7 linked regions of the Rattus norvegicus genome follow. The protein of the gene in region 4 interacts with the protein of the main gene of each other region in a pairwise test. Links are inferred from orthologs where the notes say so. Each region holds a gene or a part of one and is shown on either strand. Other genes may lie near its edges. The genes, in order: Cltc, Ap1m2, Itsn1, Ap2b1, Neu4, Ap1m1 and Nup54.

Region 1 (3,981 bases), about 3.3 Mb from region 4:
ATATTAAGTGCGAGAACTACTGTAGTCTAAAGGGTTGCAAAGTTGAGGAATCGAAGCCCAGAGCACATGTCTTAAGTTAGGTATTAGAACCTTTTATCAACTTCAAGATACTCTCGTAAGGCAGTGCTGCCGGTGTTGAGACTTTTTACTTAGTAATCGTCACAGTCATCTCTGCTGTTGTTATTGTATACTTCAACATTTGGAGCAGTTCTTAGGAGGAACTGATCAACCAAAGCAACATGAGAGACTAGGGTGAGCGCTTGCCTGCCTGTTAGTAGACTATGAGGTCTTTCTAGGTAGACTTTTCCTTCATCTAACCATAATTTTGGATTCATAGTTTACTACTAATTTTAAAAACAGGGCTTTAACAGAAGAAATGGTCTTTATGTTTTTGCCTCAGTTTTGCTTATTCATGTAACGGTGTTCTTTTTATTTTCTCTTTTTCCAACATAGGTAAATCCAAGTCGACTTCCTGTGGTTATTGGAGGATTGCTGGATGTTGACTGCTCTGAAGATGTCATTAAAAATTTGATTCTTGTTGTGAGAGGTCAATTCTCTACTGATGAGCTTGTTGCTGAAGTTGAGAAAAGAAACAGGTGTGGTACTGTTTCCTCTCCTATAGCACATAAGTTTGTGGCTTCTGATAGTGCAGGAAGAGTTGAAGTACAGCTGACTGACTGCGGCCACTCAACACATGGGGTAAATTTATGGAGGCAGCTAACAGAAGGGTGACACGCTCGCTTTTAGAGTTGAAAGGTTTTTGTTAGTGTATTTTCCTGAAATGTGACTATATCTCTATAGTTATGAGAAGATTGTGCTGTTTTTAACACAGTCTGTCTGGGTTCTGTTGTTTTTACTAGATTGAAGCTGCTTCTTCCTTGGCTTGAGGCTAGAATTCATGAGGGCTGTGAGGAGCCTGCTACACACAATGCGTTAGCCAAAATATACATCGACAGCAATAACAACCCAGAGAGATTCCTTCGTGAAAACCCCTACTATGACAGTCGTGTCGTGGGAAAGTACTGTGAGAAGAGAGACCCACATCTGGCCTGTGTTGCTTATGAACGTGGCCAGTGTGATCTGGAACTAATCAACGTAAGTACTGCTTGCTGAGTGGGACAGAGACGTCTGTATTTCTTTTAACTAGTTGTTTGAGTTTCTATACGGTTTTTAGTTAATACAGAACAGTTTTGGACAGATGGGTGCTATTTTAAAACTGTGTTTGGAGATAGTAGTAAACGCAAGTCTGTACACTCACTCTCTGCTGATTTGGCCTGTATCAGCTCTGCTTGTGTTCTTGTACACGCTCAAGCGTACCTTAACATAGCATTTCAGCCACAGTACATTCCTCACGGGTTTGTATCCATCGGGTTCTACTTTCTAGGAATGAAGACGTATCTTTATATAGATACCAGCAACAGTCAGTCAGAGGGTAACAAGAAACTCTGAAAGGTTTGGTTTCAGTGTTGTCAGGGTTTTCTGTAGTTTACCATCACCATTGTGTCCACTCTTCAGCCTCTTTATTCTAAATCAGTCCTTGGAAACTTGTTTGTTTTTAAATGATAGATACGTTTGCTAAAACTCATTTTGAAATTTGTATTTAGTTAGGTTTTTTGTTGTTGTTGCTGTGAAATAAGTGCATAATCAAATTTTCCATTGTAAAGTGAACATCTCAGTGGCTTTTAGTGAGTTGAGTGTTGCAAATCAACACTCTTTCCCACTTTCCAGGCTCTCAGCACTGAGAAAGGAGAGCTTCTTTTTAGTAAATCTTCATGTACTCCCTTCTCATAGAACCTCACAGCTGCCAAACCACACCCAACTCCTGTGGATTTCCCTGTTCTGTATTTTTTTTTTTAATTAAAGTATTTATTACTTGTGCACAAGTATGTAGAAGTCAGAACAACTAGTGGGAATCTTTTATCTCCTCAATGTATGTGGGTCTCATGAACCACTCTGGTCATCAGCCTTGGTGGCAAGCTACCTATTAAGCCATATTGCTGACCCCTGTACATTTCATATAAATGTATGGCCTCTGGTTCTTCCTCCTGCAGTGCTGAATGCCTGGCCGCAGAAAAACATTTCTGAGTTTCCCTGAATCATTTCTTTGCTTTGCAGCTAAAATCAAGTATTTCAATAATGGTTCTCTATAATTAGATTTTTAGATCATACATCTCTACTTGGAATACTGCTTAAATAATGTTTGCTCTGTGCTGCCATTTTCTTTCTTTATGTTGCCAGTCTCCACTGAATTGTCCACTTCCCATTCGGGAGTACTTTGGTAAAGAAATGAGCACACTCACCCACAGGTCCTTTCTCCTTGTCCCTGCTTACTAGGCCTTTGTAACCTAAGACATTGTTACTAGGTTGATGACTACTGTAGCCCTTTCTCCTGTTTACCAGTTACAGGTTAGAGTTACTGGGCCTGCATGAATGAGGCCCTGATTACAATCACAGCACTGAAAAAAAGTTCTGTCATATTTATTCGTCAGTATTCTCGGATTTATGGACTCCTGTTGTACTCTGAATTACAGTCCATTACTGTAATTTCTGTTAGCATTCACATTGTTGCCTGGTTGTTGATGAACTTCAAGGTTCATTGTGCAACTTTCCCAGATTAGAGTTGCCCATTTTTCCAGGCAGCCCCTACCCTTTTTAATGAAAGATGCCGTTAGTAACTGAGTTCTGCCCTGAAGATTGCTTCTAGCGTTGTTCTGTGGTCAGATCTTAGAAACTTATCTGTGTTTGTATGTGCTTTCAAAGATGATACATATTTATATGCAGGTGTATGGAAAAGTGTTCAGTATCTAATGAAACACTGGAAGAAAGTTTTGAAGGCAACCAGACCTGTATTAGAGTGTAATACAAAGCTATGATTTAAAGTTAATACAATACTAGTGCTTGAACATCAAAAATAAGCTAAATATGCGAGTGTGTGTCTGTAATTCTAGCATGTGAGAAGTAGAGGAGGATAAAGAAATTTGAAGCTCAAGCAAAGAAGAAAACCAGGTGCTATACTAGGAGTCTTCTAAAAAGCTCCTAAAATTTCTTTTTTCTTTTCATTGTTGAATTCTAATGGGAATATTTGACTGTGATATTCCCTAGATTTTTTTTTTTAAAGAGTTGACATGATTGCAAATAACTGTCAGACTCGTTTTCTGTAATTGCGCTGAAATTAACCTGGCTGTTTTAATTAGGTTTGCAATGAGAATTCCCTCTTCAAAAGTCTTTCTCGCTACCTGGTCCGTCGAAAGGATCCAGAGTTGTGGGGTAGTGTGCTACTGGAAAGCAATCCATACAGAAGACCATTAATTGACCAGGTAAATGTGACAAAAATGTTTCACTTCTTTCTGACCTGGAATACTTTCCTCTCATTACATATCCAAATATATTCAAATGGGTCATATTTAACTATAACAGAAGACACAAAAAGTAAAAAAAACATTAAAATTGTACTATATAAATGTAAAATTGTTTGTGTGTGTGTGTGTGTGTGTGTGTGTGTGTGTGTGTGTGTGTGTAAAATATTATAAGGAAAGTGAAATCTAAAACCATAAATTTATATTAAGTTCATCACCATTAAAGAAAGGGAATAAATTAGGATTGACTCCAAATCGTTAGCTGATACATGACTGAAATTAAGACATTGAAAGCAGTAAGTCAGCACACAAAGAGGATTGATAATTCAAAAACCAAAAATCCAAGTAATGTTTGGGTCTAACAGCTTAAAGTCCCTAGTACTTAGGAGTTTGAGAGAGAAAGAAAGAGTATGAGTTTGAGTTAATTAACATCATCCTGTGAGTGTAGCAAGATTCTATCTCCAATTCTTTTCTAAATTCCAAGTATCATGAAGATTATTGGTAAGTGTGACCCAGTTTCTGGTTACTAGCATCGCCTACAAGCAGGGCTGGGTAGGCAGACAGGAAGACCTCTGGAGCATGCTGGTGACTGGCAAGACACAGCACCTGTACACCTTCATGCACA
Region 2 (3,981 bases), on a different chromosome or scaffold from region 4:
TTCACAATGCTTACTAGGGCTTGTAGGCTTGGGACGTGGCTCAAAAGTAGAACTACTGCCTAGAATTCCAGATGTGGCTGGATGTTAGAGCTCCTACTTAACCGTGCGTAAAGCCCTGGTTTCTAGCCTTACTCTCACATACACAAAAGAAAGTTTTGCTTAGATCAGGATGGGTGCCACACGGACTCCTCCACCTGGTAAGCATGCCCGCACCCAGGCAGCATCTGAACGTGCTAAGTATAACATTTTGCTGCAGCGGGCCGACCACTCCATTTTAAATATGTGGAAGCATGGTGAGGACAGGTTTGGTGCTAGCCATGCTACAATTTAGAACTGCCCCAACACGGCATGAAAGTCCCTACACCCCCTACCTCCTCACCCCCACTGTCCCAGAGAGCCCCAACACCTTACCACCACTCTGGGTGATGTAGCGGACCCAGGGCAGGGCCTGGTACCCGCTTTTCTCGATGATCTTCATGTAACGGACCTGGAAGATCATAAAGAGGATCAGCCAAGGAAGAGGGATGTGTCTTAGCAGGAAACTCCCTTCTAGAGTCCCCTGTGAGTACTTGGGGTAGACTCAGAGGTAGAGCCCCTGCCTAGCATGTGTCAGTCCCTGGGTTCAATCTCCAGTATTTGTGGGGGAAGGTATTGGGAGGATGAGTTGAACAGAGTCAGAAGGAAAAGTGGTGGCTTATGTCAAGAAAAGATAGGGGTTGGGGATTTAGCTCAGTGGTAGAACACTTGCCTAGCAAGCGCAAGGCCCTGGGTTTGGTCCCCAGCTCCGAAAAAAAAGAAAATATATAGGGCATGCTTTAGGATGATGCTAACTGGGAGTCTGAGCTCAATATGGGTGAAGAAGTGATCCAGGCCCATAGGGGAAGGAGCAGACTGGAGAATACAGAAGAGGGTTGGGGAGAAGGTCAAGAAAACAAAGGATACTCTCTCTGAGAGCAGGGAAAGCAGGGGCAGTGGCAGGGACGGTGGCACATGTAGATGTGAGTGGGGAGAGGGCAAAGTGCCAGCCTGAGAACAGAAGAGGCAGCATTCCCAGGCCAACGACAAAGAAGAAATAGAGAACTGAGCATGGGGACACATGACTTCATACCACTGCTTGGAAATCTAGACAAAAGGATGTCATAGCTTCAAGTCCAGTCTGGGTTGGATATTGAGTTGAGTCTAGTCTGGACTTCAGAGTAAGTCCTTGGCTAGCTTGGATTACAAAAAAAAAAAAAAAAAAAAAAAAAAAAAATGCCTGATGCGGTGGTGCACACCTCAGATCTCAGGACAGGTCTCTATGGCACAATGCCGTCTGGTCTACACAGCAAGTTCCTGGTTAGCCTGGCTACAGTGAGTTCCTGTCTCAAAAACAACACAACTAAAAAGGGGGATTGGACTGGTTGATTTTGTGTGTCAACTTGACACAAGCTAGTCATCGGAGAGGGAGGAGCCTCAGTTGAGGAAATGCCTCCATGAGATCCAGCTGTAAGGCATCTTCTCAATTAGTGATCAATGAAGGAGGGCCCAGGCCGTGGTGGGTGGTGCCATCTGTGGGCTGCTGGTCCTGGGTTATATAAGAAAGCAGCCTGCGCAAGCCATGAAACACAAGCAGTAAGCAGCACCTCTCCATGGACTCTGCATCAGCTCCTGCCTCCAGGTTCCTGGCCTGCTTTGAGTTCCTGTCCTGACTTCCTCCAATGATGTGTGAGCTAAATAAATCCTTTCCTCCCAACTTGCTTTTTGGTTACAGTGTCTTGTCACGGCAATCCTTAGAAACCCTAACACAGGGCTGGAGAGATGGCTCAGCAGTTAAGAGCTCTGGCTGCTCTTCCAGAGGACCTGGATTAAAGTACCAGCATCCATACAGCAGATGGAAACCTGGAACCACGTGGTACACAGACGTATGCAAAACACTGATACACAAAATAAATAAATGCTGAAATGAATAAATGAGACGTGACTTGGGAGGTGACTAAAGCCAGGAGGGAGGAAAGGAGGATACCTCCCCACCCTTGTTCCTCACCTGGATGCCGGAAACAGTAAAGTATGGAATCTCAAACTTGACACCGATGGGTGGCCGGCCCTCTACCTCCTCAGTTTCCACGCTGGGGAGGCCAAAATGGGCACGCATCAAGTACTCCTTGCCCCCCTGTGGACACACAGAGGCATCAGACTCTCTCAGAGTCATTCCATATCTCAGACAACCCTCACAGCAGTTGTACCTGTCCATTGCACAGACTCCAAACACAAGAGTGCTGGCTGAGACCCATAGGAAAAGTCTGTGCTAGTACAAGCAAGGGAAGGGTGCTAACTGTTGTTCCTCAGTCTGGAGGAGAGAGACAGACAGACAGACAGACAGACAGACAAAAACACACATACACACACAGAGTAACTATAAAATAAAGCCACTAGTGTTCCAAGAACGTGGGTCATATTTGTCACACACACACACACACACACACACACACACACACACACACACACACAATCTTTAATCCCAGTACTTGGGAGGCTGAGGCAAGTAGATTTCTATGAGTTCAAGACCAGCCCAGTCTATATAGCAAGTTCCAGTCCAGCCATGACTGCATAGTGACACCCTGTCTAAAAACCAACACCAACAAAAAATAATGTGGGTCAAATGTCATCCAACCCATTTTACAGATGAGCTGAGTTTATGAAAGAGAAACTAGGCACCAAGGCCATACATATCCCTGAAGGACTTGTGGGGGAAGGGAGGTGCTGTTTCACAAGGCCTCAGTTTCCCCACCTTTGACTGGTTTGGTTTGGATTTTTCTTTTTTTAAATATTTATTTATTATGTGTACAACATACAGCTTTCTGCCTGCATGTATGCCTGCAGGCCAGAAGAGGGCATCGGATCTCAATAGGGATGGTTGTGAGCCACCATGTGGTTGCTGGGAATTGAACTCAGGACCTCTGGAAGAACAGTCAGTGCTCTTAACCTCTGAGCCATCTCTCCAGCCCAGGTTTGGATTTTTCAAGCAGGGTCTTATGCAGCTAGGTTAGATTAGAAGTAGTCATCAAGGTAAGGGTAAGTCTGAATTCTTTATCCTCCTGCCTCCACCTCCCAAATGGGAGAAAGACAGACATGGGCCACCACATACAGTGTACCAATCTGGAGCCAGATAGCCTGGGTTTCCCCTTCCTCGGCTCTCAAGGACAGCCATGTGCATCCGTGTAATCCTCATGCATCCTCCTCTAAGATGAGGTACTTGGGACGTTCTTCTCCTTCTGTCATGTGGCCTAGGCAAGCCCCACCAGCACCACCGAAATCCTCCCACCCTGGGCCCCACCTCTCCCAGTACTCACAGGGAAAGACTTGATGCTCCAAATGACGACATTCTTCTCAGGCACATACTTGGCACTGCCCACACTGGTCTTGAAGCGTGGAGAATCTGCATCGCTAGGTACAGGCACAGAGATTTCCACGCCGTTGGCCACCGACTGCTTCTTAAACTGACCCTTGGCCTGCCAGGAGAGAGCAGGAGGCAAAAAGAATTCACTCTGAGCAAGAGGTGGATGTTTGTGATCCCAGCTACTCTGGAGGTCGAAGTAGGAGGATCTCAAGTTCAAGGCCAACCTGAACTAGAGAGACTGCGTTCAAGGACACCTAGACAACTAAGTGGGATCCTTTTTGAAAATACGAAAATTAAAAAAAAAAAAAAAATGGGAATCAAGCCTGGTGGCAGAAGGTTGGGGATTTAGCTCAGTGGTAGAGCGCTTGCCTAGCAAGCACAAGGCCCTGGGTTCAGTCCCCAGTTCTAAAAAATAAAAAGAAAAAAACAAAACAAAACAAAAAAACAAAAAAACAAAAAAACAAAAAAACAAAACAAAACAAAAAAAAACACTGACTGCTCTTCCAGAGGTCCTGAGTTCAAATCCCAGCAACCACGTGGTGCCTCATAACCATCTGTAATGGGATCTGAAGACAACTACAGTGTATTTATGTATAACAAATAAA
Region 3 (3,981 bases), on a different chromosome or scaffold from region 4:
AATGTACTTGGGGTTCGGTGTTGAACAATGACACATGAGCAGATAACAAATGATCGTGTGTGAATGAATGAGCCAGTCAAGTAAAGGTTGTGCCTGGTTCCAAACAGAGAAGCCACAGCTGCCACCTCAGCTTCCGCAGGGGCTGCTCATAGCTTTGCTTGTGCACACCCTCACTGCAGAGGGTAGGAGGTGGGGCTGGGGAGGGGAGGGCACAGGCAGTCTCCATGCAGGAAGTGCTCTTGGAATTTAGAAGAGGGGGGGAACCACAGGGAAGAAAGGGGAGAGAAACACATTATGCCTGGGGTTTTTGGAAAACTCTAGCAATCGTATATACACATGCATGCGAGCCTGTGTGTTCACGGATGTATCCGTACACCTCTGTGCTCGGGTCAGGGGAAACACAGGCAGAAAGAGTGAGAGTGGAGGCTGAGAGACAGGAAGAGGAAAATACCAACGAAGACTCCTGTGTGGGTCAGAAGCCCAGAGAATCCACCAACACAAACTTTAAAAAAAGGAGCAAAATATGAAACACTTTTAAAATTCAAGCTGGTTAAAATAAACTAAAAAAAGAATGTGCCCATTCTCAAACCATAATGAAAATGAAGTTACTGGATCAACCACCAAAGGCAGCGTCAGCCGGTGCCCTTTGGACCTGTTGACACTGAGCCCCACACTGTGTGGCAGAGTAAAGACAGAGGGACCCCAGGCTGAGGTGATGAACTCAGCAGGGCGACTCTCCAGAAAGAAAAGCAAGGGGGTTGGGGATTTAGCTCAGCGGTAGAGCGCTTGCCAAGCAAGCGCAAGGCCCTGGGTTCGGTCCCCAGCTCCGAAAAAAAAAGAAAAGGAAAAAAAAAAAGAAGAAAAAGAAAAGCAAGGACACTTTGCTGACTTCAGCTATGTTATGTGGACGAGAATGCGCCCCCTGGGCCCTGTGCCCACCAGGCCGCTCTCACACAGGACCACAGCTGGGATTCGCTCGTGCGATGTGACCCTCAAACTCCCTCTAAATAAAACTTGGGATGGCCCGGGGAGCAATCTGCTCAGGGAAAATGCAAGTTCAAACAGTGAAGACACACACAGGGGGACGTTCAAAAGACACTAGAGGAGACAAAAAAAAATCATATTCCAGGAGCTGAGGGTGTGGCTCGGAAGAATAGCGCTCAACCGACATGCAAGAGGTTTGGTGGCTACTGCAGAAAAGGAGACCACTCTACACAGAGAAAACTAAGGGGTGAGGGTGTGAACGCTAGCAGAAACAACAGACAGAAGAGTAGGATCCACGACCGCGGGTACTGGGACTGTCCGATGTTAGAATACATGCGAATATGTTTAAAGTGCGTTAGAAGTAGAGGAGGAGGAAGAAAAGAAGGAGGAGGAGGAGGAGGAGGAGGAGGAGGAGGAGGAGGAGGAGGAGGAGGAGGAGGAGGAGGAGGAGGAGGAAGAAGAGAAGGAGGAAGAAGAGGAGGAAGAAAAGGAAGAGGAAGAGGAGGAAGAAGAAGAGGAGGAAGAAAAGAAGGAGGAGAAGGAGAAGGAAGAAGAGGAGGAAGAGAAAGAGGAGGAAGAGGAGGAAGAAAAGGAAGAGGAAGAGAAGGAGGAAGGAAAGAAGGAGGAGGAGAAGGAGAAGGAAGAGAAGGAGGAAGAAGAGGAGGAAAAGAAGAAGAGAAGGAAGAAGCATGAACATTTGAACAGGACACACAAAAGAAACCAGGACGTTTGAAAAAATAATTTTTTGGCAGCGGGAAATAATATCATTGAAATTATATGATATTAATATAATTAATGAGCTGAGGAGACACGCTGCTAGGAGAATACGTTCTAGCTGGAGAGGAAAGGGAGAGATTTGCCTCATCCCTTCTGTACCGGCTGCCAGTGTTCAACCAGGAGTGGTCCAGGCCCCGCCCGCCCGCCCGCCCGGTAGGTGGCTACCTCAGAAAGGCCTTCGCACTGCACATGCGCCTGGATCCACTCCAGCCGGTCAGAGTTCTCCTTCTCTCGAACTCCCTCGTTCACTTGGGAGCACAGCTCTTCTGCTTTCTCCAGGGCGTGCTTCAGGTGGCTGTGGTCGGGGTGGTTTTCAGGAGTGTTTTCCAGGATCTGTACAGAAGACAAGACCTTTGTCAGGACTCTTTTCTCGGTGTTGATGGACCTGGACCCACGGTCATGGAAGTCACAGTGTTTTCCTGCATGGTGCCCACCATAGCCATGGCACAGGGTGCCCTGGCCACTGGAGCAGCCTCGGGCTCAGTGAGGGCTATACTTGTTGCTTGCAATGAGTGGCCCTGCCCTTGGGCCCTCAGCCCAACCCCAGCCCTCTGAATGTCCCAGCACAAACTCCGTAACCTGTCCTGCAGAATGCTGGCTCCCAGCATGGACACTAAACCACCCACACAAACATCCCAGACCTGGGGATGCTGCAGAACAGTGCAGCAGAAGGGGCTCAGCTTCTCCTCCAAAATCTCCACCCTGTTTCACTGAACAAGCAACTCAGCCAGAGACCAGGGGACTGGCCAGGCATTCCTGCAGGCAGCCAGCGACTGCTCTTCCCCGGCTCACTTACCCAGGGGAATCCTGGTGTTGGAACTGAACAGTACCCCGTTAACTCTGGAGTGAGGGTTTAGGAGAAGGCAGGGCACCCCAGGGTGGAGTGGGATAGGTGCCATACCCCGTGTGTTCGCGTGCCCTAGGGAATGTACAGGGCCACAGGCACCTGTGCATCCTGGAAATCAACTAGGAGGTTCCCCTGGGCAAATATGTGTGCTTTGTGTATGTGTGGGGACATGTGCTGGTTTGTACATGCTTGGCCCAGGGAGTGGCACTATGAGGAGGTATGGCCTTGTTGAGGTAGGTGTGTCACAGTGGGTGTGGGCTAAAATACCCTAGTCCTCACTGCCTGGAAGTCAGTCTTCCACTAGCAGCCTTCAGAGGAAGATGTAGATCTCTCAGCTCCTCCTGCACCAGGCCTGCCTGGATGCTGCCATGTTCCTGCCTTGATGACACTGGACTGAACTCCTGAACCTGTAAGCCAGCCCCAATTAAATGTCCTCATGAGAGTTGCATTGGTCTTGGTGTCTGTTCACAGCAGTAAAACCCTAAGACAGAGTACACATATGTATATGCGTGTGTGCCTGAGTGGAGGCTGGAGGACATCCTCGGCTGTCGTCTTTCAGGAGCCATCTTCCTTGTTTATGAGGCAGAGTGTTTTGATGGCATCCAGGGCTCACCAATGAGGTGAAGCTAGCTAGAATTCCTCCATCTCTGCCTCCCAGGGCTAGAACACACCCTGCCACATCCTGCTTTCTTTTTCTTTTTCTTTTCCTTTTTTTTTTTGGTTCTTTTTTTCGGAGCTGGGGACCGAACCCAGGGCCTTGCGCTTCCTAGGTAAGCGCTCTACCACTGAGCTAAATCCCCAGCCCCCACGTCCTGCTTTCTACACGGACACTGACGTCCCATGCACTTCACTGGCCAGGTCACCTCCCCAGTCCCCGAATATGTTTTTCTGAGTGTTCTGTTGTTTTTAACCTGAGCAGAGCTGCCCCAGCTAAATGTAACAGCACAGCCTTACCAGGCGGTTTGCGGGACTGGCCATCCTTCCAGGATGGGGCATGCAACGAGGGAAATAAAACAGTTTTCACAGCTACCATGCCCATGTAATTGCTTTCCTTACTGAGTAGGTGTCCTGGACTACATTTTTCTTTTATATTGATTGCTATGACTCTAGGTTTGGGGCCAGGGAGATGGCTGAGTTGCTGGGTAAAAGCATGGGCCGTGCCACCATGAGAACTGAGTTCACCCTCTGGAACCCACGGTGGAAGGAGAGAACGGACTCCCGAAATTAAAATTGTTCTCTGACTGTCACATGTGTGCCGTGGTAACGAGCTCTGGGTTCCCAGCACTCACATGCCAACTCAACCGTCTGTGACTCCAGTTGCAGGGCATCCAAAGCTCCCTTCTGGCCTCTGAGGGCACCAGGTATGCAGTCAT
Region 4 (3,981 bases):
TGTGGTGGTTTAAATGAAAATGGCCCCCTAGGCTCACAGGGAGCAGCATGCTTGGAGGTAGAGCCTTGCTGCAGTAGGTGTGGCCTTGTTGGAGGAAGTGTGCCACGGGGGGCTGGGCAGGGGTTGAGGTGTCTCTTTAAGATTTGCTGTGGTCACAGTGTCTCCTCACAGTAATAGAACATCAACTAAGACACAGTGAGCACACATACATATGAACATATACGCACATCTCACACAGACACGTGAGAAAGAGACTATGTGATGACTTATTTTCTGTAACATTCTCAAAATGATATAATCGTCGTGGAGAACCAATGAGTGCTTGCCAGGGCTGGGTCCACATTCCAACACCTAGGAGGCAGAGGCAGCTCAATCTGAGTTTGAGACCAGCCTGGATTATATAATGAATTCCAGGCCATGGGCTACCTGGTAAAACCCTGCCTCAAAAACAAACAAACAAACAAACAAACAAACAAACAAACAAACACCCGACTCCAGCAAAACAAAAAACAAAACCAAAAAAACCACCCCAAACCAAGCCATAAATGATCCCTCGCACACAGAAAAACAGGTCATTCTGCCCCTCCCTAAGAGAGTATGTAATGTACAGTCTCATTCATGTCCACAGCTACATTAGTTATTTTCTAGTCTTGAAAGTAGATGTGTAAGACATTAACATTATGAAAAACTGGGTTAAAAGAAAAGTCCCACTAAAAGTCTTGTGAGTACTTCCAAAATAAAATATTTGTATAGTTTATCTAAGAGAATGAACAGTCCATCTCAAACAATGTGCATCAGGACCCATCAACAACATCTGAACCTTAAATATCACTTGCCTATTAACCTCCCCTCCCCCCAAATTCTACATGAGTTTGAACAATGTCATTAATCATTTTTCCCCACTTTTAATACTAGGGGTTGAACCTGTGGTGTGGCCTAGCTGACAGGAGTTCTGCCATTGAGTGACATTCCCCAGCCCAAGTTTTAGTTTTTCTTTGAGACTGAATCTCTGAGTTGCCTACTCTGGCCTTAAACTTTCGATCTTTCTGCCTAAGCCTCCCACATAGTTGGAATCACAGATCTGTCACTAGGGTCTAGTCTCATTCATCATCCTTTAAAAAAAAAAAAGAAATTGCATTTATTTCATTTATTTGTGTATGTGCCACAGTACTTGTGGTGGTTAGAGGACAGTTGGAGGGGGCATTCTCTCCTTTATCAGTTTATCAGGCTTGGTAACTTTGTCTACTGTGCCATCCCACTGGCCTCTCTCAATCTTTTTAACCACAATCCCTTGGTCTAGGACATTCCTCAGAACTAGTCATTATTGAATCTTCTTCCCCTGCCAATTCTTTCTAAACAGTCTAACATGAGAGTAAGGTATTTCCTCATCTCAAGGCTTCTTGGGAGATCACACTTTATATCAGCACCAGAGCTTAGGGCCTCGAGGACCAGTGTTCACTGCCGAGCAAAGTGGTAGTTTCTCCTGGGCAAAGCCATCCAGTAACTTTTACTTCTGCTCAATGGTATTCTAGAGGAGGTTTCTTTCTTTCTTCTTTTTCTTTTTCTTTTTTTTCGGAGCTGGGGACCAAACCCAGGGCCTTGCGCTTGCTAGGCAAGTGCTCTACCACTGAGCTAAATTCCCAACCCCCTGGAGGAGGTTTCTTAAGCTACAGGAGAAACCTATAGGCTGGAGACTTCTCTCCCTGTTAAGGAAACCATGGTTAAGAATGACTAATTAGTTACATGTTCAAATCTAGGTCTAGACATCCTAAGGCCAAGAACTCTGAAAGTAGACAAGGTCCAATGTAAGCAAGCTAGGAGATGGCTTTTGTTTTGTTTTTTTGTGGAGTGCACTGGGCCCTCTGCTCTATCCTTTCTATCCCAACATGTTGGGACGGCTCTCTCACTGAACTGGTAAGGCTGGCTGTTCAGCAAGCACCCTTACCATCTCTCTCCAGCCTCAGAACACAGGGGTTTTGTTTGTTTGTTTGTTTTTGGCTTTTTTTAAGGCAGGGTCTCACGAAGAAGTCCTGGCTAGCTTCACATTTATAGCGATCCACCTTTCTTTTTCTAGAATTGCAGGTGTGACCTGGTGCCCAGCTAGAGACATTCCTCTAACGGCCTATTCTCGCACCACACTGATGCCGAGCAGGAGGTATCTCTAGGTGTCAGAGAAGTGATGGGTTTGCAGAACTCCTTACAGTCAGAGGCAGAAGGTCTACCCTGGTCTGCCCCAGCACCATGCCTAATAAGTCAGAAGACCACAGTGAGAAGAGGAGGCACTTCATGAATGCGACTTGGACTCCCTGACAGAGTGCATGCTTGTTTTGGGGTTTCTCAGGTGGGAAGTACTTCCTCAGGTCTCTGCAGCACACTACGGAATAAATGTACAGGTTCTTACCTCTGTACTCTAACCCCTCTCACACACTCTGGCAAAGGCCTTACCGTATAATTGGGGTTTCCTGGCTGGATCCGCAGCTCTGCCAAAATCCAAATGCCATTAGTGAGCTTCAGGGACTGGTACAGCATGTCCTGCCCCTCCACATTCCTCTTGGCGATAGTGTAAACATTGTTGTTTTGCAACTTGCTGGAAACTGTGTCTAGAAATAGAGATCCAAGACTTTCAGTTTAAGTCTCCAGTGAACACATTCCCTTCTCTGCCATTCTTGTAAGCTGGCACATATCCTTGAGTTCCCTGATGAATTCTAGCATACACAGATGTCCAGAGGTTCTTCTGATACAGAGAGGCAAAATGAAGGGCCTGCCTGTTGTGTTATCAGACAGAAAACAGTAAGGTGAACTAACACTGGTTTAAGAGCTACCTGGGGAGGTTATATAACAGATAAGTTAAGCCTCAGGGTTTACTAAGAACAAACTAAGTTCTCGTGTTAATTACTTTCCCCACTGCTTTAACATCGTTCTCTGGCCAAAGGGATGTAAGGGAGGGTTATTTTGGCTCACGGTCCCAGGGTACAGCCCATCATGGTGGGAGTCACAGCAGCAGGAGTGAGGGGCAGCTGTTCAACACTGCATCTAGTCAGCCCAAGACAAATGCTAGTGTTAACGTGTTTCGCCTTGTACCTTCAGGTCAGGACTCCACCTCAAGGCAGGAAGCCACTCAGAGTTAAGGTGGGTCTTCCCACTTCAAGGAATGAATCCAGGAAATCCCACACAGGGACACCCAGAGGTTAATCTAGTTTAGATAGCCTCACAGGTGTGTTAGAGCCCTGCCTTCTAGGTTCTAGACTTTATCAAACTGACAATAGTAAGCATCACAATGGTAGACAGGTACAAATACTCTGATGGGAATAGAGAGATGGGTGTATGGGTGTGTGGAATCTCCATACCGACTCTAGTGTTGATGTCCATTTCTGGGATACTGCTCCCCAACCAGGAGAGCTATACTGAGGATCAGATGTACACTTCCCAGGTCACTACTACTGCACTGTGAGCCATGTGGGCCTCAGTTTCACAGCTTTAGAAAAGGACAGAGCTGCACAAGTCTTTTCAAGTCAGATTTATTAAACTGGATATTTAATTTCTTTTTAAAGCAGGCAAACGAATTCTTTAGATGCTAGAGAAAACGATATTTTCAAACATACAAGGAAACAAAGTGCTTTAATGAAAGACACAGAGGCCCAAAGCTGTGTGAAATGACTGCTGCTATGTCCTCAAATCCCAGCTGCCATGTGAGTGATGCTGCTGCACTCCCCAGCTTAGGGGAGGATCAGGCTGCTGTTCTTGTGACTACAGCATTGAAGAGACATGAAGCTTTAGAATGAATTAACAGTCATTTCTCTACCTGAGATGGTGCAGTGTCAGAGACAGATAAACTTTTTAAGAATGGAGATGACGCTTGCCTAGCAAGCGCAAGGCTCTGGGTTCGGTCCCCAGCTCCGAAAAAAAGGAAAAAAGAAAAAAGAAAAAAAGAATGGAGATGATATACTAGGTGTGTTAGTATCTTTAATCCCAGTACTCAGC
Region 5 (3,638 bases), on a different chromosome or scaffold from region 4:
TCATCCAGCTCTGGTTTCTAGGATTCAGTCTCTTTTTCCACCCCTGCAGTCCCTACTCCCCAGGAACTGTCTACTGCTCTCCCCTATCACCCTGACCCCTGCTGGTTGGCAGTGCCCCTAAGGGTACAGGACTGGGCACGTGAGTGCTACAAAGAGGAATATGGCAGGTTCTGGGAGGGAAACGGGGAAACAGGACTGTCTTAGTTAAAGTTTCTATTACCATGACCAAAAAGCAGGTTGGGGGAGGAAAAGGTTTATTTGGCTTACACTTCCAGATCATAATCCCTCATTGGATGGCATTGGGACCGGAACTCAAGCAGGGCTTGAACCTAGAGGCAGGAGCTGATGCAGAGGCCATGGAGGATGCTGCTTATTGGCTTGCTTTTCATGATTTCCTCAGCCTGCTTTCTTATGGAACCCAGGATCACCAGTCCAAAGATGGCACGACCCATCATGGGCTGGGCCCTCCCCCATTGATCAGTAGTTGAGAAAATGACTTATAGCTGGGTCTCTTGGTAGCATTTTCTCAACTGAGGCTCCTTCCTCTCTGATGACTCTAGTTTGTGTCAATTTGACACACCAAACCAGCCAGCACAAAAGCTCATCCAAAACCCTCATCCGGGCCCTCCTCCCTCCACGGCTGTTGGGCAGCACCTGCTTCAGACGTCGAGCTCCCCTGGTGATCAGCAAGCCTCTGCTGGCCAATGGCTGGGGAGTGGCTCAGTGGTAGATGACTCGTTTGGCTTGGTTTCCAGGCTTAGTATCACAAGACAAAAAGCAAAACACTTGACCAAGGGGCTGGAGAGGTCTCTCAGAGGTTAAGAGCTTGTATGATTTACAGCTCTCGCAGAGAAACGGAGTTCACTCTCCTGCCCTTGGATTGGGTAGGCTCATAATTACCTATAATTCCAGTTCCAGGATATCTGTCACCTCTAGCCTCTATGGGCACCTGCACTCCTGTGGATGCCTTCCATATGCACATGGTTACAATGAAGTCTTTTTAAAAACCAAGAAAATACTCGACCAAGCGGACCTTTAGGATTCTGAAGAGCGTCTCGACGACTCCTCTGGTTTGAGTGCATTTAGGGTCCGGTAAAGGGAGGCAGTCAGCGCTCCTAACCCAAGGGTCTGTTTCCTTCTCTCTGTAGACTGGGCCACCTTTGCCGTGGGTCCAGGCCATGGAGTCCAGCTGCGCTCGGGTCGCCTGCTTGTTCCTGCTTACACCTATCATGTGGACCGTCGGGAGTGTTTTGGCAGGATCTGCTGGACCAGTCCCCACTCCTTGGCTTTCTACAGTGATGACCATGGGATCTCCTGGCATTGCGGAGGCCTTGTGCCCAACCTACGCTCTGGAGAGTGCCAACTGGCTGCGGTGGATGGAGACTTTCTCTACTGTAATGCCCGGAGCCCTCTGGGTAACCGTGTGCAGGCACTGAGTGCTGATGAAGGCACTTCCTTCCTACCAGGGGAGCTGGTGCCTACGTTGGCTGAGACTGCTCGCGGCTGCCAGGGTAGCATTGTGGGCTTCCCGGCTCCACCTTCCATCGGTCCTCAGGATGACCGGTGGTTAGCGAGTCCTGGAAACACCCCACATTCCCCATGCTTCGATCTCAGAGTACGGGAGTCTTTGGCGGAAGGTGCTAGAGGTTTTGTTGAAGGTTGGGCGTCTAGGTTGCTTCTCTGCTACCCACAGTCCCGGGGCCCAGAGAATCATGGCCTAGAGCCTGGGCCAGATGGAGAAAAAACATCCTGGAGCCCGGAACTCCCTATGTCCTCTGCTTCCGTGCGTCAGAGCTCCACATGGTTGCTATATTCCCACCCAGCAGGGCGTAGAGCTCGGCTCCATATGGGAATCTACCTGAGCCGATCCCCCTTGGACCCTCACAGCTGGACAGAGCCCTGGATAATCTATGAAGGCCCCAGTGGCTACTCTGACCTTGCCTTCCTTGGGCCTGTGCCTGGGGCATCCCTGGCTTTTGCCTGCCTGTTTGAGAGCGGGACCAGGGCTTCCTATGAAGACATTTCTTTTTGCTTGTTCTCACTGGCTGATGTCCTGGAGAATGTACCCACTGGCTTAGAGATATCCAGTCTCAGGAATAAGCCTCAGGGGCATTGCTGGCCCTCTTGATGGCCTGGTCCTCTGGCAGGCACTTGGGGAGGAAGGGCAGATTATATAGAGGAGGTCAGGTCAGCCTGACCCTAGGACGAACAGAGCTCTGTCTCCTGACTGGCTGGTGGGGGTGACTCACCGGGCAGCCAGTTGCTTTCTGGGTGCCCGTGAGAAATAAAGGGGTTGTGCTGTGACTTTTCTTTCTGTATCAAAGCTCGGGTGCTGGTACTTTAGCTCACCGCTCTGATCACCACGCACATCTCCCACCGGCACCTTGCTCGGCTTTCACATCCCAAGGGTGCCCGGCAGGGGTGAGGGCAGAGGACCTCACCGTGCTGGGACAGTGGACATCACCACACCGCTTTCCACTACCCTCTGGGTGCCAACCTCAGCCAATTTGATATGTGCTGATGACCGAGGGCTGTTTACTTTCTGGATTTCCTGCAGGAGAAGCAGGTTGGGGAGCGAGCCTCCCCAGCCAGTGGGGACAGAGTTTGACTCGAGCAGCGATTACGTCTGAGGACCTGCTCCGTGGGTCCACTTCTTTACCCTTCTCTGGAGAGGGCTCTTGTTCTATCAGAGCTGTTCCCTCGGTTCTCTTTCTTTTTCCTTTTCAAGACAGGGTCTCGGGGGCTGGGGATTTAGCTCAGTGGTAGAGTGCTTACCTAGGAAGCGCAAGGCCCTGGGTTCGGTCCCCAGCTCCGGGAAAAAAAAAAAAAAAAGACAGGGTCTCTTTGTGTAGCCCTGGTTGTCCTGGAACTCACTCTGTAAATCAGGCTGGCCTTGAGCTCAAAGCTCCATCTGCCTCTGCTTCCCAAGTGCTGTGATTAAAGGCATGTGCTACCACCGCCTGGTGCCCTCTTGTATTTCTTATTAGAGTCCTAATTTCTGATTATAAAAACAATCTGTGGAGGCCTGGGGTGACGGCTTAATCAGTAAAGCATTTGCCATGGAGTCAGAGGAATCTGAGTTCTGTTTTTAGCATCGCATAAAAAGCCCAATTTGGTGGCATACTTGTAATCTCAGCATGGAGAGGCAGAGATAAATAAATCCCCCCAAGAGATCTCTGATCAGACAGCTTGGTCTAATTGGCACATTCCAGGTTTCAGTGAGAGACCCTGCCTCAAAGTATGGAGTTGATCTCTGACCTCTGAAAATATAGGATACACACCCATGCATGCACACTTCCTTACAAAATTAAAAACAAAACAAAACCCAGGTTTATGGTCATTTTAGAAAATTAGAAGATTTAGAAAGCCATACATTAAAAAAAAACCCGCAAGAAAAATCTTTACTGCTCTGGGTATTGTCCACAATAAACCACTGTGTTCCTTGACCAAGCCTTGGGCTGGGTACTGTTTTGAGGTGGGTCCCATTATCTCCAGGTAGTAGAGCTTTGTACCCACTAACTGGGGCTTAAAACCATCTAAGACCATCAGAAGCTACTGACTTACCTGCCTCAGCAGAGCATAGCATGAAGGTCAGGATCAGGTCTCCTCCCTGGGTTGCCTGAACTCCAGTGGCCCCT
Region 6 (3,981 bases), on a different chromosome or scaffold from region 4:
GTTAAGGCTGCTGGCTCTGCTGTGACGCAGTCTGCAGTTTTGCGTGTTCTCCTAACACTAATTATGGCCTGAACAAATGGACACATACATAAAATCAATCTGTAGATTTAGTACGACATCAGAAAGACATGAGAAACTCTCTCTCACCAGTGCAAACACAGCACAGCTACAAGCATTTCATGCAAGTGAGCAGCAGGGGAAGCCACCACCAAGGTCTCAGCCAGCTAGGCGTTATGTGTGGACATCCATGGAGATAATAGTGATAGCAGTCACTTCACTAACATGAAGACGACCAGGTGTAATGGCACTTCTACCTACCTTACAGCCCAGCTGAGGCTTGAATAATTGAAAGGAAAAGTGGAGGGCTACAGAGATGGCTCAGTGGTAAAGAGCATAGGTTGCTCTTCCAGAAGACCCAAGTTCAATCCCCAGCACCCACATGGTGGCTCATCACTGGCTTTAACTCTAGTTCCAGGGGATCCAATGCCTTCTTCTGGCCTGCAAACATGCAGGTAAAATATGTCTACAAATGATGCCTTTAAAAAGTAAAAAACAAAATGTTGTTTAAACAGGTAAAGAGTTTAAATCCAACTGGTACCCTACATGGATGGAGAAGGACACTCGCGGAGGTCATCAGGTTATTGGGTGAAGTCCCTGTGCCATGGGCAGACTATCTCCTGGGAGGTGCTGCAGGACACCCTGAAGCTCCATGAGCCATGCAGGCCGCTGCTGCTGTTGTACAGCAGAACCGGATGGTAAGAGCCTATTGTTGAAGACACTGCACTTGGACTGCAGAACATGGGGAAATTAAGTTGGAACCAAATGGAAACTCCCACCCTGCTGGTTGGCTTTCCTAGTGCCAGAAAGGGCTGTGAGGGCTGTTGATGAACAGTTATCAACACTCCTGCTCAGCTATGGACCCAGTGTGCTCAAACACCACATGTGCACTACTGGCACAGATATCATGGGTGACACCAACACCTTTCTATTGGACTTTAGGCCCACTCTACAAGGGAGTTCACAAATGCTAATATACATCAGGGAAAAAACCCTATGCCTGGGAGGGAGAGCAGGGCAGGAACTGCAAGGGAAGACCATGTCCCTGGGAAGAGGTGGCATCTGTGCCTGTAGGGGTTACACGCATGCACACATTTACTGACGAGGGGACTGGCAGCTGAAGAGCTCCTGCACAGCCAGATCTCCAGAGGTCTGCTCAAAGCCCAAAGTGGTGGGTGCAGCCACGGTGGGTCTCCACCTGGCATCACACTTGATTTGAGGCTGAAGCAGGGCTGAGGATGTAGGGCACATGAGATCTTCCCACCCCTACTCCTACCCTGTTCCCCTCATTTGTCCACTCCTGCTCCTGACAGTGTGGCCATACACAGCAGCCAGAAATCTCTAGACCACAAGGCCACCTATAGCCAGTCCACCCCATCCAAAGACCTACCCCATTTAACATGACACATCTCCAGAGGACAACTTCAGGCCCAGTTGGCTCCCACTCTTGCCCTGTGTCTCTCCCCTCCTCCCACAGCTGCAGCTTCTGGAATACTTAGCATTCCCTGTGTCCTCTGTGTGAGGCCTGTGTCCTCTGGCTGCCCAGCTCTTCTGTGCTGGTGGGCAGGCGTGTCATCCCCAAGGCCTGACTCCACAGCATAGGGATACGGTACAGGTTGTTGTGCTTAATCCACATGAAACGAACGCCACCATGGGCCAAGATAGGTGACAGCATGCCCTCCTCCTCCTTCTCCATCAGAATGGGCATGAAGTGCTCCACCTCTGACATGTCCACATCCCCACGGTAGTTCCTGCAGATGAGCACCTGCATTAGGAAGGAAAGAAGGGGTGGCTTCCTCTGAGGGTCTGAGGTAGGGGTGGGGACCATCTGTGAAGGGACACAACTTGAGGCTAGTCTGATTTTCACCCTATGAAGTCCCACCACAAGGCTCTTCCTTCAGCAGAAGGTGGAGAAAGGAGGGACTGATCCCCTCAGACACTGGGCCAAGCCTTGCCCTATGAGCACTCCATGCAGACCCTCTCAGTGTCTTTGCTGTGCTGGCACACTTGGCTCTCCTGAGCACCTGATCCCAGAGGAGTCCAAGTTCATGGGATCCCACTGAAGCCTGTACAGGAATAGCCCTGCCCTGGTCTTCCTCCTTGCATGGTGTCTGAACCACTGTCCATCATCCTGTGAAATAGCCAAAGTTGGTGGCTCCTCAGAAAGTGACACCAGAGTTAAGTATGACCCAGTGGCTCATCCTAGAGAATCAGAGAAGCTGTGTGTCCATGGGCACTCAACGGAGAATGAAGCCGGGAGTGGGTTCAAGGAGCCTCGGCACATCTCAAATCCACTATGTAGCCAAGGATAGCCTTGAATTCCTGTTTCTCCTGCTGCTACCTCCTGAGTGCTGGGATGACAGGTATGAGCCAGTCCACATAAATGAACACCCCAGTGGCTGAATCTTAAATAGAGCCACACCAGAGACAAAAGGACTTGTCTTGCAACAGATGTATGGAGAATCTGGCTGTTCCAGGACCCCAGGATTCCAGAATCTGAGGGCCCTCCAATACAGTGCTGTGGTATCTAAGGACAGCCTGCTCTGACAAAAAACATTCCTGAGGCTTTTGCTTTGTCGTGATGATTTCACTATGTAGCCCAGGCTAGCCTCAAACTCACGGCAGTCCTTCTGCCTCCAGAGTGGTTAGGTTATAGGCATGAGATACCAAACCCAGTTCAAATGCAACACCTTTCCCTCTCCCCGACCCCTCTCTCTTTGTGCTGCCACCTCAGATGATCTAGCTAGCCAGCAGGCTCCTGGGATCACGGGCTGCCATACCCTCCTGGTATTATGTGGGTCCTAGGAATCTGTACTCAGTTCTTCACACTTATATAGCAAACTGTTTCCCTGCTAAAAATACTTTGTCAAGCATGGTATGACACCTCTAATCCTAGCACTTGGAAGCAGAGGTAAGGAAGTTTACATAGTAAGTTTCAGACTGAACACAGTGAGACCCTGTCTTTTTAAAAAATCCTAGGTTTGCTGGGAATGACAGTGCAGGCCTTTAATCGCAGCACCCAGGAGGCAGAGGCTGGTGGATCCCTGAGTTTGAGGCCAGCCTGGTCTACAGATCAAGTTCCAGGACAGCCAGGGCTACACAGAGAAACCTGTCTCAAAAAACAAACAGGAGGTGGAGAGATGGCTTAGCAATGAAGAACACTGGCTGCTCTTGCAGAATCCCCAGAATCACATAGAAGTGCACGCCTATCCACGACTCCAGTTCCAGGGCTTCTGACACCCTCACACATGCAGTCAAATACTAACAACCATAAAATAAAAATTATGTGTGTGTATGTGCATACACACACACACACACACACACACATATATGCATACATATACAGATACACACTATGTATGTATATAAAACCAAATAAGCAAATAAATAAATCCCAGGAGTTGGGAAATGGCTCGTTACTTAAGTGCACTGCTATTCTTTTTTTTCCAGAGCTGGGGACCGAACCCAGGGCCTTGGCTTGCTAGGCAAATGCTCTACCACTGAGCTAAATCCCCAACCCCATGCACTGCTATTCTTTCAGAGGACCCAGGTTCAGTTCCCAGCTTCCACATTGGGTAGCTCACAAGTGCTCGTAACTCTAGCTGTAGGGGATCTGATGTTTACTTCTGGCCTCCAGGGACGCCTGCACACGTTCGCACATACCCGTATCCCTCTCGCCTCCCCACACACTTAGTAAAAAAAAAAAAAAAAAAACAAAAAAAAAACACAAAACCATTCGTGGTCAGCTGAGGGCAGATAAGAATGTGAACGCAGGACATGGGACTCTGAGCTGCAGGACATGAGGACGCCCAGGTAGGCTCTACCCTCAGAGTCACTGTGCATAGTGAAAGGAACCAAACAGGAATTGCTCCTTGGAATTACCCTGAGGAAATGGCTGCAGGAAGGGGCCATGAGGAAGCTGTG
Region 7 (4,525 bases), on a different chromosome or scaffold from region 4:
ATACCAATATGTTTACCTCTATAAAACAAGAACGTCTTTCTGAAGGAAGGGAAAAAAACGAGAGGAATGGCAAAGCAGGTAGCCTTGGCTACCATGGGCCTGCATCACACTGAGGCAAGCTGACAGGTTCTATTTTTAATTAAATCTATAAACAATCGGTCTCAGAGTATCTAAAATATATGACTAGAATGACATGCCAAACTAATTTAAAACAAAGTATCGGCAGCAGTTACCTGGGTACAGATATGCTATCAAAGACTCTCACAGCACACATCTGAACCCGAAGTGCTGAGTTCCACTCCAGGCTTTCTGAGATTCTAACCTGAACCTCATCTATTTCTTGTAATAAGAGAGCCTCTTCAAGATTGCAATGAAGATGGGTATGGTACTATATGCTTGCAATCCCGTAAAGAGAGATACTAAATCAGGAGGAATACAACTTTTTCCCTGAGATGCCATTCTAGAGAGAAGAATTTAAATTAGTTTTAATCAATGTGGTGCTGTTTTAAATCCAGGACCTTGCACACTCGAGGCAGGCAAGTGGTCCATCACTATCCTGTACTCTTGAACTCTTAAACAATACAATTCAGATTTTAAAAATTATTGAATAGGCAATTGCACACATGTAACTTATAGACTCTACTGAATATTGCCAGCTAAACATTTATGAAACATCTAAAATAACTACTGCCTTTGGAGCCCTTTTAACTTCCTGCTTTAGAATAACTATGTTATTCAAGTTGGCTACACAATAAAAATGCTAGTCACTATCTTATCATGTTTCAAGTGATCAAAAATACTCTATTAGGGGGTTGGGGATTTAGCTCAGTGGTAGAGCGCTTGCCTAGGAAGCGTAAGGCCCTGGGTTTGGTCCCCAGCTCCGAAAAAAAAGAACCAAAAAAAAAAAAATACTCTATTAGTAATATTAGATCTGTATGGATACAAAAATGTAATTTTTAAAGCTCTTTCCTGAAGGCTAAGTTAATTAACCTATTTGAAAACAATGGAAACACACTTATATTTGTACAACTGAAAAATAACAGTGACAACTTCAAATGGACATGAAATCAAGCAAATACAAACAAGTTTATTTGTTGCTGTTAAGCTATATGGTTTGCTTTATTCTGAAAACATGAATTTCAAAATAAGGTTTGTTTTGCCCAGTGCCAATTTTAAGCAAACTAGGAAATGTAAACACGGGGTGGTGATATGTAACACTTCCAATATTTCTCAGTGAGTCACTTTATCTTTGGAATTACCAAGTATTTTCCACATTATTTCCAACTGAAAGGATAAAGTGACATAAACAATGCAAAACCAAGTGAATGGACAAAAATACCTGACTTTCCAAGTAAGTTTAGAGGTAATGTTAACCAAATGCATATAATTGGCAAGGGCAGGAGTGGCTTAACGGAACATAAACTATGGACGATAAATTCATATACGAGCAGCTGAGGATCAAGATTTTTCTAAGGGTCATATGTTGAGCTCACATAAGCCTAACTTAAATTGGGATATACACATCCACTATATTTATGTTCTGAAAAAATTTAGTGATCATCAAACAACCCACAGATTAAAATAAAAAAAAACTTCATCATCTTCTTTTTGAATGTAAAGATGTCAACCTTACTTTTTTGAACTCAATGTCATCTGGTAAATTAAACTACCATGGAGAATTTCCCAAAAATCCAGCAAAGAATCCACAATTCTTTCTACAATTATGTATCTTGAGGACTACATTCGAATGTGTTGAGTTGATGTTAGAAAAACAAGACAGGTCACTGCTGTTCGTATAAGACTTGTTTCTCTTGGAAACACAAGGACAATAAGATGAAATCCCGATGAAATATGTATAAAAAATGAAAAATGACTGCAGGAGTCCAAGAATCCCGGGGAAACGCTGACCTTATGCTAGAGCTAATGATTCAAAAGGCATTCCGTTCCAAATGCATTCCATCCCAAAGTTATCATTTTGAAGCTGCACTCTGTATGATTAAATGCAAATCCAACAAAGAAGTATTCTAAGTGTTTCCAAAAACCACATCTTTTAAGGCAGTCAAAACTTGAAATATACTTGATTCGATCTTCCTTATTAGACACGTGCCATTTATTCCCCCAAACTCTAGAAACAACGGAACATTCTTGGACTCCAGCCCCCATACTCATTACACACATGACCCGCAGTATCTACCTGCACTCGCCAGACTGTTACCAAAATTGAACGGAGTCGCCGAGGTGGTAGAAACACCGAAATTCCCAATATTAAAGTTCACTGCAGGGTTAGCGGTTAATCCGAAACCCCCAAAATTAAACCCACTGGCGGTGGAGTTGGCAGTCTCAAGCCCACCAAATCCTGATAGTCGTGGAGGCAGAGAAACAAAAAATTGAAAAGGTGAGAGGAGGGGAAGAGAAAAGGAAAAGAAAGCAAGATAAGAATTACAAGAATCAGCAAGAGGCTTCACAGAGTGAGCAAACCTGACCTGCACCGGATCAGGGGAAGAAAGTCGAGGTGGGGACAGACAGAAGGAGTGAAGGACACCAGGGGCCGGGGTCCAGCACCCCCCCCCCCCGGGTTGGGGAGGGGACAGAGGGAACTGCGGGCAGCCTTACCCGTCTGGGCAGGGAGGAGAGGCGGACGAGGGGACACGGGGTCCCGGGAAGGGAGAGGGGCGTAGCCTCCGGCCTCTCTCGGGCGAACACCCCAATGGCGGGAAGCAACGCGGCGGCCGGGCCACGCGGGATAAGCGTGCCATGTGATCCCCAGGCCGAGCCTGAGCAGCCTGAGACCCACCCACCACCGCCGTCGCCGCCCGCCCTTTCCAAATGTCCCCAAGGTGTCGGGAGTGCCCGGGCAACCCCGGGACCCCCAGCCGGACCGATCGGATCGAGGGGGCGGGCCCTAGGCTTCGGTTCCTTGGAGGAAGAAGGTAGGACCAGGGCTGACTCACCCGCCGGTGCCGCGGTGGCTGTAGAGGTGCCCGAAGTGCCCGAAGGAGCCCCAAAATTGAATGCCATGTCGCGGGAGCAGCACTTAAGTGGTCCCCGGCTCCGGTGGCGCGACGCCCAGTGCTCTCCGCTCTTTCCTCCGGCTGGGAAACGTCGGGCCCGTACCTTTAGTTCCGCCTCCTTCCTGGCCTAAGCGGAGGAGGGAGGAACCAAGCGATGATGGAGTGGGTGGAGGGTAGAACGGGAACGCCTCCACCCGATCATTTCCGGGGGTGTGTTGTGGCTTCACGTGGTGTGGGACGTCACAGGAAAGGGGAGATGAGGGCAAGTTGGACGTGGGGTGTTGTCTGCCGGCTCTCTGATGCCACTTTAGAGAAGTGACAGGGTGCGGAGACCGCGTGAAGGTGCTGCTGCCCTTACCACTGAGGAGCGGTCCTTCCCGGAGGAAATGAGGTTTGAGTAGATGAAGCAGTTGGGAAAGAGGCATTCAAGAGTGATGGAAAGATAATGGCAGTGGTGGTAACACGTGTGTTAACTATGTGGCATGCACTCTAGTAATCGTTTTTGCATAATTCTCTTAATCCCCAGCTGTGTTTCAGTTTACCACTATTCTTATTGAACGAGAAAGGGGCGAGGGGGTGGCTGAACCGAATGAAGCAAAGGAGCCCTCTCACTGGTAAAATCTGTACCCTGTATCCCACTTCTGGGGAACATTTAACACTCAATCCCACAGAGAAGATTCTGTCCTTGACTAATTTGGACAGACAAGAGAGTTGCTAAGCAGCCATCCCCAAAGTCATTTCGCTGGTACATCCTGGAGTCTACCTTCACACAAGGTTTTTCTCTACTTCGCCCAAATTATTTTAAAAATATTTATTGTACATGGCACTGTGTTACATTAGAACATTTTGATACAAGTATATGTTGTATTTTGAACATATATCCCCATTCCTAAATTTTCTTTCTTCTCCCCCTCCCTCCCATTAGTTCCCTAGCAGTTTTATTTCATTTACCATGCCATATATATGAGTTTATGTATTTAATTAAACCTAGGAGTCATAAATGAAAAGTTTTTTCCTTCTGTGACTGGCTTAATTCACTTATCCCCAGTCATATTCATTCTGTGCAAATGACATAACTTGATTCTTAGGGTTGAAAATTCTTTTGAGTATATATACCACCTTTTCTGATCCATCCCTCTGTTGCTAGGCAGCTAGGTTTGCTGGTGTTGGTGACTGGTGCTTCAGTAGACATTGATGTACATCTGTCTCTGTGATAGGCTAACTTGGAGTCCTTATAGACCTAGCTGGGTCATGTGGTAGATATGGTGTTAGTTTTCTCAGGATCCTTTGTGCTTGTGTGTGTGTGTGTGTGTGTGTGTGTGTGTGTGTGTGTGTGTGAGAGAGAGAGAGAGAGAGAGAGAGAGAGAGAGCGCGGGCACATGAGAGGGCACACATGCATGTATGTGCACATGGGCCTGGAGGCCAGAGATTGACATGGGTGCCCTCCTAGTTTACTCTTATTTTTCAATACAAGGTCTCTCACTAAATCTAGAGCTCATCAATTTGGCAAGACT

What was found.
Region 1: the proteins of Ap2b1 (region 4) and Cltc interact in a two-hybrid assay, tested with the Homo sapiens proteins (2 studies listed by BioGRID, with this or other methods). The link is inferred for Rattus norvegicus from reciprocal best matches to the Homo sapiens genes AP2B1 and CLTC.
Region 2: the proteins of Ap2b1 (region 4) and Ap1m2 interact in binary tests that used the Homo sapiens proteins (3 or more experiments, as listed by UniProt). The two-hybrid records come from large-scale screens. The link is inferred for Rattus norvegicus from reciprocal best matches to the Homo sapiens genes AP2B1 and AP1M2.
Region 3: the proteins of Ap2b1 (region 4) and Itsn1 interact in binary tests that used the Homo sapiens proteins (3 or more experiments, as listed by UniProt). The link is inferred for Rattus norvegicus from reciprocal best matches to the Homo sapiens genes AP2B1 and ITSN1.
Region 5: the proteins of Ap2b1 (region 4) and Neu4 interact in binary tests that used the Homo sapiens proteins (3 or more experiments, as listed by UniProt). The two-hybrid records come from large-scale screens. The link is inferred for Rattus norvegicus from reciprocal best matches to the Homo sapiens genes AP2B1 and NEU4.
Region 6: the proteins of Ap2b1 (region 4) and Ap1m1 interact in binary tests that used the Homo sapiens proteins (3 or more experiments, as listed by UniProt). The link is inferred for Rattus norvegicus from reciprocal best matches to the Homo sapiens genes AP2B1 and AP1M1.
Region 7: the proteins of Ap2b1 (region 4) and Nup54 interact in binary tests that used the Homo sapiens proteins (3 or more experiments, as listed by UniProt). The two-hybrid records come from large-scale screens. The link is inferred for Rattus norvegicus from reciprocal best matches to the Homo sapiens genes AP2B1 and NUP54.

The regions. Positions count from the first base shown.
Region 1 is NC_086028.1:72,028,937-72,032,917, reverse strand, and holds part of Cltc (clathrin heavy chain 1), read left to right. Parts: intron 1-453; coding exon 454-596; intron 597-860; coding exon 861-1,095; intron 1,096-3,194; coding exon 3,195-3,317; intron 3,318-3,981. UniProt on the Homo sapiens protein: Clathrin is the major protein of the polyhedral coat of coated pits and vesicles. Two different adapter protein complexes link the clathrin lattice either to the plasma membrane or to the trans-Golgi network.
Region 2 is NC_086026.1:28,115,280-28,119,260, forward strand, and holds part of Ap1m2 (AP-1 complex subunit mu-2), read right to left. Parts: intron 3,489-3,981; coding exon 3,330-3,488; intron 2,150-3,329; coding exon 2,024-2,149; intron 488-2,023; coding exon 412-487; intron 1-411. UniProt on the Homo sapiens protein: Subunit of clathrin-associated adaptor protein complex 1 that plays a role in protein sorting in the trans-Golgi network (TGN) and endosomes.
Region 3 is NC_086029.1:44,628,259-44,632,239, reverse strand, and holds part of Itsn1 (intersectin-1), read right to left. Parts: intron 2,095-3,981; coding exon 1,927-2,094; intron 1-1,926. UniProt on the Homo sapiens protein: Adapter protein that provides a link between the endocytic membrane traffic and the actin assembly machinery. Acts as a guanine nucleotide exchange factor (GEF) for CDC42, and thereby stimulates actin nucleation mediated by WASL and the ARP2/3 complex.
Region 4 is NC_086028.1:68,694,493-68,698,473, reverse strand, and holds part of Ap2b1 (AP-2 complex subunit beta), read right to left. Parts: intron 2,601-3,981; coding exon 2,446-2,600; intron 1-2,445. UniProt on the Homo sapiens protein: Component of the adaptor protein complex 2 (AP-2). Adaptor protein complexes function in protein transport via transport vesicles in different membrane traffic pathways.
Region 5 is NC_086027.1:101,846,854-101,850,491, forward strand, and holds the end of Neu4 (sialidase-4), read left to right. Parts: intron 1-1,148; coding exon 1,149-2,128; 3' UTR 2,129-3,064; downstream 3,065-3,638. UniProt on the Homo sapiens protein: Exo-alpha-sialidase that catalyzes the hydrolytic cleavage of the terminal sialic acid (N-acetylneuraminic acid, Neu5Ac) of a glycan moiety in the catabolism of glycolipids, glycoproteins and oligosacharides.
Region 6 is NC_086034.1:17,629,550-17,633,530, forward strand, and holds part of Ap1m1 (AP-1 complex subunit mu-1), read right to left. Parts: intron 1,823-3,981; coding exon 1,666-1,822; intron 1-1,665. UniProt on the Homo sapiens protein: Subunit of clathrin-associated adaptor protein complex 1 that plays a role in protein sorting in the trans-Golgi network (TGN) and endosomes.
Region 7 is NC_086032.1:15,900,593-15,905,117, reverse strand, and holds the start of Nup54 (nuclear pore complex protein Nup54), read right to left. Parts: upstream 3,085-4,525; 5' UTR 3,019-3,084; coding exon 2,952-3,018; intron 2,357-2,951; coding exon of another isoform or gene 2,195-2,356; intron 1-2,194. UniProt on the Homo sapiens protein: Component of the nuclear pore complex, a complex required for the trafficking across the nuclear membrane.